Linked DNA regions of Saccharomyces cerevisiae S288C. The protein of the gene in region 3 purifies or fractionates together with the protein of the main gene of each other region. This does not show direct contact. Each region holds a gene or a part of one and is shown on either strand. Other genes may lie near its edges.

Region 1 (4,681 bases), on a different chromosome or scaffold from region 3:
ACGTTCATATTGATGAATATGTTATAAAAATTGGTAGGGAGCTATCCTTTGATTATAAGTTGTGCAATCTGGCTTGGGTAATTGCTTATGATGCTTTGAAGCTAGAAACTATTTTAGTCATACCCCAACATTCCATTGCATTGGCCATTTTGAAAATAGCATATGAATTACTAGATAATAAGAATTGGTCAAGTAAAAGGTATTCTTTATTTGAAACAGACGAGAAATCCGTAAATGAAGCTTATTTTGATATAGTCAATTTTTACATCAATTCATTCGATATGTGCGATCTACAACGTCATTTACCGGCTGATTTGCTGCCGATTGGCGTTGAAAGGTTTATGGAACTGAAAAAAAACGCAGGACCAGAATCTGGATTGCCGCAAATACCAGATCACCTGTTGAATGCCGATCCTTATATCACTATTACTAGAGATAATAATGTCCAAGAAAGAAGATATGTACTTTCACTGGAGCTAATTAATGGCGAGTCCAGCATAAATAGTTCTACAAGACATGCATAGAAAGTCCTACTATAAACTTAAATAAGATCATCATTATAAACTTTCTTTTACACAAGTAATAAGTACCTTTTTTTATCTCAAAACATGAATGTTGAGCTTCGAGGTTTAATTCACAAAAAAAGAAAATGTGCTCCAGGGGAGGTTCGAACTCTCGACCTTCAGATTATGAGACTGACGCTCTTCCTACTGAGCTACTGAAGCATACAAAGGATGTTGGGGAAGAAAAACAAACTTTACATCAAATATTTGCGGATTCCATGGTTATTAAAGGATATAGCACCGGGTATACAGGACATACTAGAAGTTCTCCAGGGGATCTTGTAATCCACAAAAGAGAATTGATATTTTCACATAATATTGTCATTATTGTTTCCCCAATTTATATGATATCATTCATTATTCTGTTACACTATCAGTCCTGGCATTTCAGCATCTATTAAATCTGATGACTGTTTTCTCAATCTTCATGCCATCTTGGTACATCGTACATGATAATATATTAGTAATATGAATACTATTCGATAGATTATAGTTGATCCTCATTAGGACATCTATCGTAACAATGGGAATGTTCATATCATACATTAATTTATACGAGTTGTTCAGACAGTAGTATAAGGCAAAGATCTTTTACTTGAAAGGTTAACTTAAAAATTTTGGATATAGAAGTCATTATACTAGGCGCGTAGTATTTTACTGATGTGTTTCCAAGCTAGGGCATACTGAATATGTTCTCTGGGCGCGTGTTTATATGCTTTTCTTATATACAATAAGAAAAGTTTACTTCTATTCTCGGTAAAAACATTCTTACGGCTTGACCACTATTGATGGATATGGTTTATTGCTCATAGGTAGAGGTCAAAAAGCTTTATTAATGAAGATTGAATATCGATCTTCTTAGACTTATATAAGGGGGATATAAAACACACGCCGATTGGTTCATTCCTAATTGTGACCAATGTAATAGTGGTTCCGGCAGTTCTCATACATTTAATGTGAAGACCTGTATTGCTCATATATATGACTATCAGATCATATTCAAATAATGGATTTTTAATTCTGCTTCGGTACTGTCTGAACTGCTTCTTGAACATTTCCTTCTGTAATAGGTACATTGACAGACATATGCGTGGTGTATACTAGCATAAAATGTAAGCATCGAAATTGTTACCAATTGAATTCATGTTGATATCTAATGATCACTTGTCCGAACATTTTGTATTATTAATCAATAAAGAAGCTGCCGGATTTAGATAATTAAAGAGTTGCGAGCACATTTACTATTTCAATAGCTTATTTTATATAAGCCAAGTTAATGGTGTTTTTGTCATTATTAACGGTATTCGAAAATGTTCATCACCTCCGCTAGTGGCAAAAAAAAGTGAAGAAAATAGTATAGCATGATGATGTTCTCACTTTACAGATACCGACAAGACAACTTGAACCTCAAGGGCAATAAAATCATCAATTAACCATGTCACTTAGATTGCCACAAAATCCCAACGCGGGATTGTTTAAACAAGGCTACAATAGTTACTCTAACGCCGATGGCCAAATTATTAAATCAATTGCGGCCATTCGCGAATTACATCAAATGTGTTTGACTTCTATGGGACCCTGTGGTAGAAACAAGATCATTGTTAACCATCTCGGTAAAATCATTATTACCAACGACGCGGCCACCATGCTAAGAGAACTAGATATTGTCCATCCTGCAGTGAAAGTCCTCGTAATGGCGACTGAACAACAGAAGATCGACATGGGAGACGGTACAAATTTAGTCATGATTTTGGCTGGCGAACTATTAAATGTGTCCGAAAAACTGATTTCAATGGGCTTGTCTGCCGTTGAGATTATTCAAGGTTATAATATGGCAAGGAAGTTTACTTTGAAAGAACTAGACGAAATGGTTGTTGGTGAAATTACTGACAAGAATGATAAAAACGAACTTTTGAAAATGATTAAACCAGTCATCTCCTCCAAAAAGTACGGATCTGAAGACATATTGAGTGAACTTGTTTCTGAAGCTGTATCTCACGTTTTACCAGTTGCTCAGCAAGCTGGAGAAATTCCTTATTTTAATGTTGATTCTATCAGAGTAGTAAAGATTATGGGTGGATCGCTTTCCAATTCTACCGTCATCAAAGGTATGGTTTTCAATCGTGAGCCTGAAGGCCATGTAAAATCATTATCCGAAGATAAAAAGCATAAAGTTGCAGTTTTCACTTGTCCGCTTGACATAGCCAATACTGAAACGAAAGGCACTGTTTTATTACATAATGCACAAGAAATGCTCGATTTTTCTAAGGGCGAGGAAAAGCAAATAGATGCCATGATGAAAGAGATTGCCGACATGGGCGTAGAATGCATTGTTGCAGGTGCTGGTGTTGGTGAATTGGCGTTACATTATTTGAATAGATACGGTATACTAGTCTTGAAGGTACCAAGCAAATTCGAATTAAGAAGATTATGTCGCGTTTGTGGGGCCACTCCATTGCCTAGATTAGGTGCGCCAACTCCAGAAGAATTAGGTTTAGTGGAAACTGTTAAGACAATGGAGATAGGTGGTGATAGAGTAACTGTGTTCAAACAAGAGCAAGGTGAAATTTCAAGAACATCTACTATCATTTTAAGAGGTGCCACACAGAATAATTTGGATGATATTGAAAGAGCCATTGATGATGGTGTTGCAGCCGTCAAGGGACTAATGAAGCCATCAGGCGGTAAGTTGTTGCCTGGTGCTGGTGCTACCGAAATTGAATTGATTTCTAGGATAACTAAGTATGGTGAACGAACACCTGGATTGCTACAGTTAGCTATAAAACAGTTTGCCGTGGCTTTTGAAGTGGTTCCTCGTACCCTAGCGGAGACCGCTGGTCTTGATGTTAATGAGGTACTACCAAACTTATACGCTGCACATAACGTAACTGAACCTGGTGCAGTTAAGACAGATCATTTATATAAAGGTGTGGATATTGATGGCGAATCTGATGAAGGTGTAAAGGACATCAGAGAGGAAAATATTTATGACATGCTTGCAACGAAAAAGTTTGCTATTAACGTCGCTACAGAAGCTGCAACTACTGTGCTTTCCATTGACCAAATTATCATGGCAAAGAAGGCGGGTGGTCCAAGAGCACCTCAAGGCCCAAGGCCAGGTAACTGGGACCAAGAAGACTGATTTGTTTGCATCTTTATACTTACAAAGTAGATATACCTGCAAACAGCAGAATATAATGTCATAAATTGCAATCAAGTTTTCAAACTTGCTAGGCTGTATCATGTGTACCTGTATAGTAGTAAAGATATATATAATGTTTGAATTTTTGATAATGCAGATGTACTGTATACATTAACCAAGAAGCAACCTGCAAAACCGACGAACTCTTGGCCTGTATATTTGTTCGATGATTGTAATACTTTTTTTTTTTTCAATTTTTTTTCGGTTAGCGAGAATTTTCATGCTCATCTACAATATAATGAAGAAAATTATATTAGATGAGCTGCGATCTGTTACAACTAGTATACTGTGAACGACGCTGAAACCTTCACGGAAAAACCACATTATTGTTATTATGGGAAAGACTAAAACAAGAGGCAGAAGACACCAAGACAAACAGAGAAAGGACGAATTTGAACCCAGTTCAAATTCTGCGAAGGAGCACATCCAGCAAGAAGAGTCTACTTACAATGACGAAGCCGAAATTAAAGAGACTCAGCCACAAATGTTTTTTGGTGTGCTAGATAGAGAAGAACTGGAGTATTTCAAGCAAGCCGAATCGACTTTGCAATTAGACGCCTTCGAAGCACCTGAGGAAAAGTTTCAATTCGTCACGAGCATTATTGAGGAAGCAAAAGGTAAAGAACTGAAATTGGTTACTTCCCAAATAACTTCGAAATTGATGGAACGAGTTATTCTTGAATGTGATGAGACTCAGTTAAAAGACATTTTCCAATCTTTCAATGGCGTTTTCTTCGGGTTGTCATGTCATAAATATGCTTCCCATGTTTTAGAGACTTTATTTGTTAGAAGTGCCGCCTTGGTAGAAAGAGAACTTTTAACACCAAGTTTTGATAACAATGAAAAAGAAGGGCCTTATGTGACTATGGAAAATATGTTTCTCTTTATGTTGAATGAACTGAAACCGCACTTGAAA
Region 2 (4,359 bases), on a different chromosome or scaffold from region 3:
CAAATAACGGAAGTGAAATAGTGTCCAATTGCAATAATGGTATTGCCTCTACCGCCGCAACTCTGGCACCCACTTCTTCACGGACGACTGACTCTAATCCATCCGAGGTACCGAATCAAATTAGATCGACGATGTCTTCCCCAGATATAATATCTGCTAAGCGTAACGACCCAGCCCCTTTATCTTTCCACATGGCTTCTATTAACGACATGCTTGAGACGAGAGATCGTGCGATTAGCAACGTGAAAACCGAGACGACACCGCCTCATTTCATACCGTTTCTACAATCTTCTAAAGCTCCCTGTATATCCAAAGCAAATTCACAATCCATCTCAAATAGTGTTTCTAGTTCTGATGTTTCTGGACGAAAATTTGAAAATCACCCAGCTAAAGATTTAGGTGATCAGTTATCCACTAAATTGCACAAAGAAGAAGAAATTATAAAGCTCAAAACTAGAATAAATGAGTTAGAACTTGTTACAGATTTATATAGGAGACATATCAATGAATTAGACGGGAAATGTCGAGCTCTTGAGGAACGTTTGCAAAGGACAGTAAAACAAGAAGGGAATAAAGGAGGATAGATCTTTTTTTCAAAAAAATCAGCATCATTTTTCAAATATAATATCATCATATGTATGCATATATAAATACATAGTAGCATAATCAGTTGCAAAACAGGGTTCTAATCGAATATTACGTACATTTTGCCGAAGAAATGGAATGCAGCTGCATGACATCCAACCCGGATGACGACCAATGATATGATTTGTTTCTCGGAGTTTTCATTACTTCTTTCATTTTTCTTTAGACCTAGAATTACTTTAAGATACAGAGTATACAAAAGAAAAGAATAAGGTTTTATCAATACAGTATTAACTTATTTATGATTGAAAGAAATTACCTTTGATGCAAATAACTACTGCAAAAAGAGTAATAATAAAATGTATGCAGCACATGTTTTTTAGAGTGTTAATTACATTGGCATACCTCTCCCTCTTCCAGCCCCTTGGGGAGGCATCATGCCAGCATTGGCACTTTCACTACCTTTATTAGTGATCGTCTCGTCAACAGATAAAATCAAGTTAGTAGCCTCTGTGGCACTGTTCAAAGCATTGATTTTTACTAAAGCAGGTTCCCATACGAATTTGGCAAAATTATCGCCAATATTTTCTGTTTCAAAGACAACACCATACCATTTCTCACCTTTGCTGTGAGCCAATCTTAGTTTGTTTAATATTTCTATAGCATCAAACCCAGCATTTTCACAGAGTTGCCTTGGAATAACTTCTAAAGCCTTAGCGAAGGCATTGATTATCATTTGTTGCTTACCAGCTATGGTTTTTGAATAATCTCTCAAGCATTTTGATACTTCCATTTCTGTAGCACCACCACCAGCAACGATCAGTTTATTTTGTAACGCTCTCTTAACTATCATGATTGCATCGTGCAATGATCTCTCAACCTCGGCAATAACTTGCTCAGCACCTCCTCTTAATAATAATGTACATGTTTTAGCTTGTGGGCAACCTTGGAATAAATTGTAGCGTTCTGACCCGATTTGCATTTCCTCAAACAAAGCACAAGTACCCAAATGCTCTGGTTTTATATCTGAAGTAGTAGATTGTATAGAGCCTCCAACAGCTTGGATGACACGATTCATATCATCTGCGCTCACTCTACCAGCGCAGAAAATATTTCTATCAGCAAAAAATTGAGTAGCCAAATCGCCGATAGGTAACTTTGATAGTACAATATTGGCACCTGTTTCTTCCACTTGTCTTAGCTTTTCAAAGATTAATTGCCACTCCGCATCTACAATAGCTTGGTAATCTTCAACATGTTCTACACGTACTTCAGCATTGTCTTTCTCTGCTTTCAACTCCAGTTCTACATTCAAACTTAAAATTTTAGGATTGTTGAACTTTTTGGGTTGCTGTTCAAATCCAGCATACGAAAATGTCTTCTTAAAGGCGACACCGTTGATGAAAAGAGATTCTTCCATAGCACCACCTGGAATTTTTTTAATACCTATTAATTTGTCATCCAAATCGTTTCTATCAAGGGATAGCACGGCGTCAACACACATTTTAACAAAAAAATCTGCATTATTATGAATCAATTTCGACGACATTGCAGTTCTAGCACAGCGTTCAAGTAATTCTCTGCCACTGCTTTTCTCTGAAGTAATATCCACAGCTAATTCGTTAATCTTCTCCACAGCTAAAGAAACGGCCTTTCTGTAGCCCTTCATAATCAAATGAGATGAAATGCCTTCTTCCAAAAAGGGCTTGGCTTCTTTCATTAACTCACCAGCTAAAATGGTTACACTAGTTGTACCATCACCCACCTCGGCATCCTGAGCTCTAGAAATATCCACTAAAGTTTTGGCAGCAGGATGTACTACATCTAATAATTTTAGGATCGTGGCACCATCGTTAGAAATAGTAGTCTTTTGATTCGATGTCACAATTAAAATATCAGAACCTAAGGGACCTAAAGTTGGTTTCAATGCCTCTTGGACTGCAACACAGGCATTGATATTAGAGATGATTTGACCTTTACCTTGAGATGCGTCTGTTCCCTCTTTTAGAACCACAATTGTAGGTGTTTGGCTTCCAAAGTTCATTTTTCCGAGTTGTATGTCTCGTGATTCAGGTACTACTTAATATTTGCGGCTAATTCTCTGTATTTGAAATCATTTCGACAATTTGGCATCTGCTAACGCTTAATAACAATTATTCATTTTTTTTTTTTTCAATAGCAAGGATGAAAAAGTCGCCACTTAAATATTAATCATTATTCACGAAAGTTTTCTTTTTCCGGGTAAGGATAATGCAGGTATGGTGATTGCTTCCAAGACATCTGTAGTAATATGACAGGGCAACATCTACAGCACCGATTTCGCTGATAAACCATCCAAGGTATTGACGATACTTTATTTACATTCCAGAACGAATATTTATTTATATATATCTGAGCGAGCAGCTATTCACATATGCACTCGATATTTATTTTTCTTCAAATGGGTTGACTTGATTGCAATGCAATGCCTATCATACGGCCCAAATATTTACGTCCCCATTTTCACGACCCTCAACCATGTAATTTTCTTTATACTTAACGGTACTAACGCTAGTCTCGTTACCTTGTTCGACGCAAGACCAGCTTTCATCCTTTTCGCTATCGTATATCTGGACACTTGGTTCGTCTGCGACAACGACTGCAGCGTTCTCTTGGAAGAGATCTAACGAAAGAACTGGCGCACTGTACGCATGAAACTTATTCAACAACCCAGTTCTTAAGTCCCAGATTCTAACTGTTCTGTCGTATGAACCTGTGACCAGGCACGCGGAATCAAATTTTAATGACGTTATGGCATCTGTATGCCCTTTCAAAGTACGAATCACCTTTCCGGATCTTAAATCCCATAGCCTTACAACACCATCTTTTGTACCCGTTGCTAGCGCTGCATCAAAACTTTGTAGTGCACCTATACTAGGCCTCTCATTTCTTTGAGTAAGAAGTGTGCTCTTTGATAAATCGACATTAGTGGATGTTGTTAAGACATTTGCAAAGCTCAGATCAATGGTTTGCAAGCACTTCCCGGAACGTAAGTCCCATTGCCTAATTGTTCTATCCTGTGAACCACTCACCAAGAAACTAGGATCTAATGATAATGCAGTAACCTCATCTGTATGCGCCTCAAATGTATGAACACATGGAGAATCAATATGATTTGTAGGAGAGGTAAGATTTTGCGTTTCCTGGTAAAGTTGTTGAGCTAAATTCAAATTCCATAATTTTAAAGCCGCATCTCTACCACCAGTAACAAGAGTTCCGTAGTCACGATTGATTTGCATACAATTAATTGTAGCAAGATGTCCTGCTAGTTCTCCAATTTTGTTTTGTTTGGATAAATCCCAAATTTTTACCGTGTGATCAAGATATCCGGCTGTACATAAGGTACCAAAGGGCGCATCAAAATCTAGGCAAGTGAGGAAATCATCGTGAGTGGACATTATAGAGCCAATTTTTGTTCCTGGCTCGTAAAGCTGCTGGAATGTTGGGAAGCTTTTTCTGTGTCTTTTTTTGGATTTGCTATAAAAGGCACCTAATCTATTCAATGAGTTATCGTCTCGAAGTTGTTGCCTTCTCCTTGGAGGTAGATTAGAAGCCTCTGATGATATGCTCTCTGTGGTGACACCCTCATTTCTTATAGCATCATTTTTAAGGGCCTTTCGCTCACTCATACCATCATCTTCTGCATTTTCGTCGCTATTAGCTTCGATCACCTCCAATCCGTACTCTTCTAAAAAGTCCAACCTATCATCAATCTGTTTGAGGTTGTCTTCCAAT
Region 3 (5,757 bases):
ATTGTTACACCCGCGTTGTCAAGTAAATTTATAAGGGTCCAAGATAAAATGAAAGCATTGAAATATTTCCATCATTCTGATAAGCAGAACCACGTAAGGCAGACTAAAAATCATGACATCGATTAACAGTTTTCCCAGGAATATTGACTGGCCTTCCAACATAGGCATTAAAAAAATAGAGGGAACTAATCCAACGGTGAATGCCATCAAGGGCTTGTTATATAATGGTGGATCAATTTATGCATTTCTATATTTTGTTATTGCTATGTTTGTTGAACCAACGCTACAAAAGCAGTACCAGCAGAGAAATGATTTTTCCTTGTTTGTTTTGTTGCGTTTGAGAAGAATCATAGCGCAATTGCAAAAACGACTGGTGATGACCCCAGTATCGTCGTTGGGGTTCAACGAACAGAATAACTTTGTGGAGAGGTCCACTCAAACTTCAGACGACAATATAATACGAGAAGATAATAGCCATTGGGCTGAAATGATTTATCAACTGCAAAATATGAAACAAGAATTACAGTATTTTAACAGATCCTCAGGCCAACCATCTGAAAGTATAGACGATTTTGTCTTTCAAATTAAGATGGTGACTGACCAGGTTGAGTTAACAGATAGGTCCCGAGCTTTCTCAAATAAATCAAGAAATATTATACAGGGAATCCGAGAAATCAAAGGTTGGTTTGTGAATGGCCAAGTGCCAAGGTAACAATCAAAAATAATAGCATTGAATTTAAAACGCTCTAGTGCACGTAACGCATCCGTCTGATCAGTGGCGAACAATACCGTTATTTTTCATAGTACCTAAGAAGACACATACCAATTTTTGCAAGTGAAAGTGCAGAAACGGTTCCACTAACGATATTACTGCATGCTCTCTATTCTAATGTACATATATATGTTCCTTTATCTACAAGAAGTTTCGTAATAATATATAAATCCCTCAAAAGTGTTATTGTTTCGAGCCCAAATGCTTCAAAATGTATAGTTTGTTGGTGTTTTTCTTTTCAGGTGTACTGTTGTTAGGCTTGAAAGGTTTAAAAGTGCGAACATTCCTTGCTATTAATTCAGGTGAATTTGAGTTGGACCCAAGTATAATCTTTCTGCTAGTAACAATTTGATTGGATACAAAATCGGCATCCTCTTTTCTTTGATACATTTCTTTTATCCGTTCTCCTCTTCTTTTCCATCTCTCGTAGGTGTTATTGTTTTCCTCATCAGTACGCTTCCAGTTGGACTTCAAAATTCTTCGAACAGCCTCGGGAGAAATTTTGAACCGGTCTGCAAGATCAGATGCTGTCAGTTCAGGAAAGTTGAATTTCAATAGTCTTAGAGCCTCCATTTGTTCCTGTGATATCTTTTTTGGTGGGTTCCACCTCTGGCCTTGCAATTTTTTTCTAACTGCCATTTTCTGCTTCTTCCACTCAGGAATGTCTTTCGTACCATCTCGTACTTTTTCTGTAAACTCTTTATTGGACAAACTCGATTTATTGACTAATTTAATAATCTTTTTGGATGACCATCCCCTGTTCTCATTGAGTAATGGACCGCAGCGCAGGCAATGAAAAGAACGACATGCTATTCGCAGAATGTTCATGCCAAGTGCTAACCAAATGATTCAGAAGGAAGTCGAAGGGAATACGTAGTGCCTTGTTAAATAGCTTACCGTGATATGAACAGTATACGATCGACTCTCCTTGGAGACTTTCTACACCATTGGTGATTGGTGTTTTAGTTCTACCATCATTTCATATTTACTAGCTTTATGATCATTTTAGACGACTGTGGGAATGTTGTTATTTTTACTAATCACTTTTACTTAGTAATGTCCCTTAAGGACAGCACTGAAAGCAAAGTAGTCAAGCACTTCATTCGAACTTGATTAGTAGAAACAAACTTCATTCTTTCTTTACGTATCCAGTCCAATAATATCTGCAGTAGTTATAGTGACTGATGAACATTTTGAAGAAGTTTATGGAGTCTGGTAACAAGCCAGAGCTCATCACGATACCTTCTGGGCAGTTTAATCTTTTGAGGTCTAAGAATTCCCCTAAAGCTGCTTTAGAATGTATTTACAACAATGCAACTTTAAGCGTACGTAAAATAGGCAAATTTGATTATGAGTTGGCGGTTTATAGGGTAGAGGACGATAGTGAAGGAGGCACGGGAGATGAGGCTGAGAATTTTGAAGACGACACCATCAGTGTTTTATCCACACAGTCTAAAAAGAAAGAAGAGGAGTGGAGCGTTGAAATATCGGATAAAATCATGTTTCACAAAACATGGGATAAACAAGGAAACGTGGCGCTTGTGTGGGAGAACTTAAGAGGTGATGAACAAGATGAAAAGGTTCAATTTGTTGTTGCCGCTGATGTGTCGTTTTCTGATGTTGAACAGTTTATCCAAACTGTTTACCGATGCCAATTCGAAGTAAGGAATAAAAAATCCTCTCTCACTGCCTCAGCAGATGACTTAAAGGAAATAGAGCATAGATCAACCAGGCTCTTTGTTCAAGATGATGATGACGAGTTAGATTCAAGCTCAGATGACTTTCAAGATGCTAAAGACACCTCTTTTGAGCACGAGAAGGAAAGTGAAATATTGGAAAGAACTCCTTCTCCATTGAAAAAAGTTCCAGAAGGGGAATATTGTTGTTTAGTGATGTCTAGCCTATACATGTATGATCCAATTCAAGAAAAATTTATTCTGCAGGAGCCCGTGGTAAAGGTAGCAATTATTGATACAGGCAAGTACGAATTTTGGCTAGCGATAGAAGGTAAAGATAATCGTCTTGGGACTCAGGTCGCCCCAAATATCAATCCTACCTTTGAATTAGCTACCGATGCCTTTCTTTTCAACTATACGCTACAAAACATTACATTGTCTTATATGTTAAAATTTAAGGACTTAGATAAGTGTATTCAATTCAGGTTTGCTTGGGTTAAATGTTTATGGATGACTTTGAACAAAGAAACGTGGACCGACGTTCCTGAAAAGGAGAAAGATTATATTTTAGATTCATCATCCGTGCCATTGGAAAAGCAATTTGATGACATTTTACACATAGATGACAGATCAAATGAGGAAAGAGATAAAGAATCAAGCGAAAGTGAAAATGATAGCGAAGATGAGGATGACGAAAACGATCACTCCAAAAGAATCATTTCATCTGAAGCCTTTGAAGAACCTAGGCGTGCGACTTCCAAAGGTAATAGTTCATTGACTGTCGCCTTTAGGAACAACAGGTCATATGTTACAAGAGATAACAGAATTGGTGTGTTCAAAACGGATGATGAAGACGATTCTCTAGAATTTGTAGCTGCCATAAAGAATATTTCTAATTTAGGTGGTAAAAGCATTGATCCTCATAAGCCAATGTTGTATATGGAAGATCGTAATTTAATTTTGACTGATGGCGAAAATGAGAACAAACTTTATAAGATGGATATAGAAAGAGGAAAGGTGATTGAAGAATGGTCTACTGGTGACAAGAATGTTGTTCAATATGGTCCAACCAAAAAATTCGATCAAATGACGCCTGAACAAACAATTGTTGGCGTTTCACAGAAAGGTGTCTTTAAAATTGATCCTAGAATTAACGGAAAAAATAAAATAGCCGTCGATGAATCAAAAGATTACGTGGGTAAATATAACTTTAGCTCTATTGGAACAACAGAGAGTGGTTATATTGCTATTGGGTCAGAAAAAGGTGACATAAAACTATATGATAGGCTCGGTATTAGGGCAAAAACTGCTATACCTTCACTAGGCCAAGCAATCAAGTTTATTACTACCTCTGCTGACGGTAAATGGTTATTGGCGACTTGCGAGAGTACTCTGCTTCTTATGGATTTGAAAATTAAGGATGGAAAAAATGCTGGCAACATTGGATTTCTGAAGTCGTTCCCAGCCAGTGAAAATGTTAAAACATATGTATTAAAAATACGACCAGAACATTCGGCATCAATCTTAACGTACACAAAAAAACCAATCCGATTTACGAAGGCTTATTTTAATACCGGTATAGGCCAGCAAGAACAAACTATTGTTACATCGACGGGTCCTTATGCGATTTCTTGGTCATTAAAGGGCATTTTAAATCAAGATGGTAGTAATAATTATCCTTACAGAATCCGTAGGTACAATGCTGATGTTGTTGCTGATAATTTTGAATTTGGTTCAGACAAAAAGGTTATCGTTGCCTTGAAAGACGATGTCTCTCTATCGAAAGTGAAATCCTTTAAACAGCCAAGCAAAGGAGTCTTGATGCCAAGTGCTTCCCTCCAAGATTTTTATGGCTAATTCTTATTTTCAAGGTTTTAAAGTTGTATTCCGAGTGTATTATATAGTTGTTTCCCTTCCGGAAGTTGTGTAATATATAGTTTTGAATATATATAATGGTGTTAAATAGAAATGCCAAATAGTACGTAGTAATATTATTTAAATTGCATGCGTTTTTTTCGTTTTAAAAAGAGATTTTAGTGTGAAATGCAGTCAAAAGGTACTTTTGTCTGTTTTATAGTACTTGTACATCAGACAAGGATGAATTAATCTTTTTTAAAGCGGTCTCCTAGTCTCCTTCTGAACCCAAAAGTAGATCTCATTTCATCCCAAAATAAAAGCCTTAAAGCCTTAAATTTCTGTCGTGGAGTTGGCTTATAAAGATATTGAAAAGCAGTTGATTGGTCAGTGAAAGGATCTTCTTTAATACCATTTACTTTCCTATATACCTTGCGTACAAATCTATGGAAACCTGGACTACTCAGTAACTTGTAGTAAAACCATTCTTCTATACTTCTTGGAGGCATGCTTAAACTGATGTGATAAACATATTCTTGTTGGTAACAGAGTGTTCGTTCAATCTTTTTAAGATATTTTGTTTCCTAATTTCTTCACATTTTTGAATTACTGTTTTTCTTAATTTCATAACGGGTTCTTTTCAAAAAACCGTAAAAATTTGAGGTCACACCAACTAAATACAAATTGTTTCATCACGGTGACTATATCAAGAACTTCGTAAGGAAACATTTAGAAAACTCAATATAGTAAAGTTTCATCAGCAATCTTATCTGAGTAATATTATCTACGATCTAAATATAGGATGATCTGCCGATTTAGGAATCGTACTGTAGATTGCTCTTGGCGACAGATATAGTGAAATACCTTTTACAAAGTGGATACAGGTTGCCTATCACTACCGCCATTTCACTAGCAAGTAGAGTATTGAGAAAACGGTAAACTTTGAAAGTTGCAGATGCAGAATATATATCTGGTTTTGTAGTTCTATCCGCTAAACGGGACGATCGCATTTTAGCCGCCGACAGTGTTAATATAAGTAATGAACTTGGGTTAATTTGATTACGCGTCACAGCTACTAATAAAATAAGACCGAGAGTTTTAATCAGCTAGTGCATACCAAAACAATGAGTAACCAACACAGCCCTCAGCCATTTTGTTTGGACACCAAATTGGTGAAACTATTAGAAGAGCTCCAGGAGGGAAAGCAATTCAACAATAAAAACATATTCCCGGAAAAAGCATTATATTTGAAGCTCGCTCTTGATTATTCTTTCTTCAGAAAGAATTTACTAGAGTTTTGCGTCCACCTTGACAAGATAAAAGGAGTCATTAGACCAAACTATGACACTATATATATTTTGTGCCTGTTGGAGGTGGATCTCCTCAATCTGGTATTTACCGACAATATATTGGAAATATGTTTGCCCAGGTTTGTTTCAAGGGAGGACTTGAGGG

The links. Proteins that work in one complex are often made in the same cells at the same time.
Region 1: the proteins of VID27 (region 3) and CCT8 purify together in Saccharomyces cerevisiae (affinity purification with mass spectrometry, with the first as the bait; 2 studies listed by BioGRID). This does not show direct contact.
Region 2: the proteins of VID27 (region 3) and CCT7 purify together in Saccharomyces cerevisiae (affinity purification with mass spectrometry; 2 studies listed by BioGRID). This does not show direct contact.

The regions. Positions count from the first base shown.
Region 1 is NC_001142.9:418,981-423,661, reverse strand, and holds CCT8 (chaperonin-containing T-complex subunit CCT8), read left to right. Parts: upstream 1-1,998; coding exon 1,999-3,705; downstream 3,706-4,681. Other genes in the region: CTK2 (Ctk2p), read left to right, coding at 1-524; YJL007C (uncharacterized protein), read left to right, coding at 650-964; RNA-binding RNA processing protein NOP9, read left to right, coding at 4,100-4,681. UniProt on the Saccharomyces cerevisiae protein: Molecular chaperone; assists the folding of proteins upon ATP hydrolysis. Known to play a role, in vitro, in the folding of actin and tubulin. In yeast may play a role in mitotic spindle formation.
Region 2 is NC_001142.9:206,147-210,505, reverse strand, and holds CCT7 (chaperonin-containing T-complex subunit CCT7), read right to left. Parts: upstream 2,630-4,359; coding exon 977-2,629; downstream 1-976. Other genes in the region: GZF3 (Gzf3p), read left to right, coding at 1-584; MDV1 (Mdv1p), read right to left, coding at 3,057-4,359. UniProt on the Saccharomyces cerevisiae protein: Molecular chaperone; assists the folding of proteins upon ATP hydrolysis. Known to play a role, in vitro, in the folding of actin and tubulin. In yeast may play a role in mitotic spindle formation.
Region 3 is NC_001146.8:245,505-251,261, forward strand, and holds VID27 (Vid27p), read left to right. Parts: upstream 1-1,956; coding exon 1,957-4,305; downstream 4,306-5,757. Other genes in the region: PEX17 (Pex17p), read left to right, coding at 113-712; mitochondrial ribosome assembly protein RRG9, read right to left, coding at 956-1,600; MRX7 (Mrx7p), read right to left, coding at 4,551-4,811; MER1 (Mer1p), read left to right, coding at 5,427-5,757. UniProt on the Saccharomyces cerevisiae protein: Has a role in the negative regulation of gluconeogenesis. Required for vacuolar catabolite degradation of fructose-1,6-bisphosphatase (FBPase).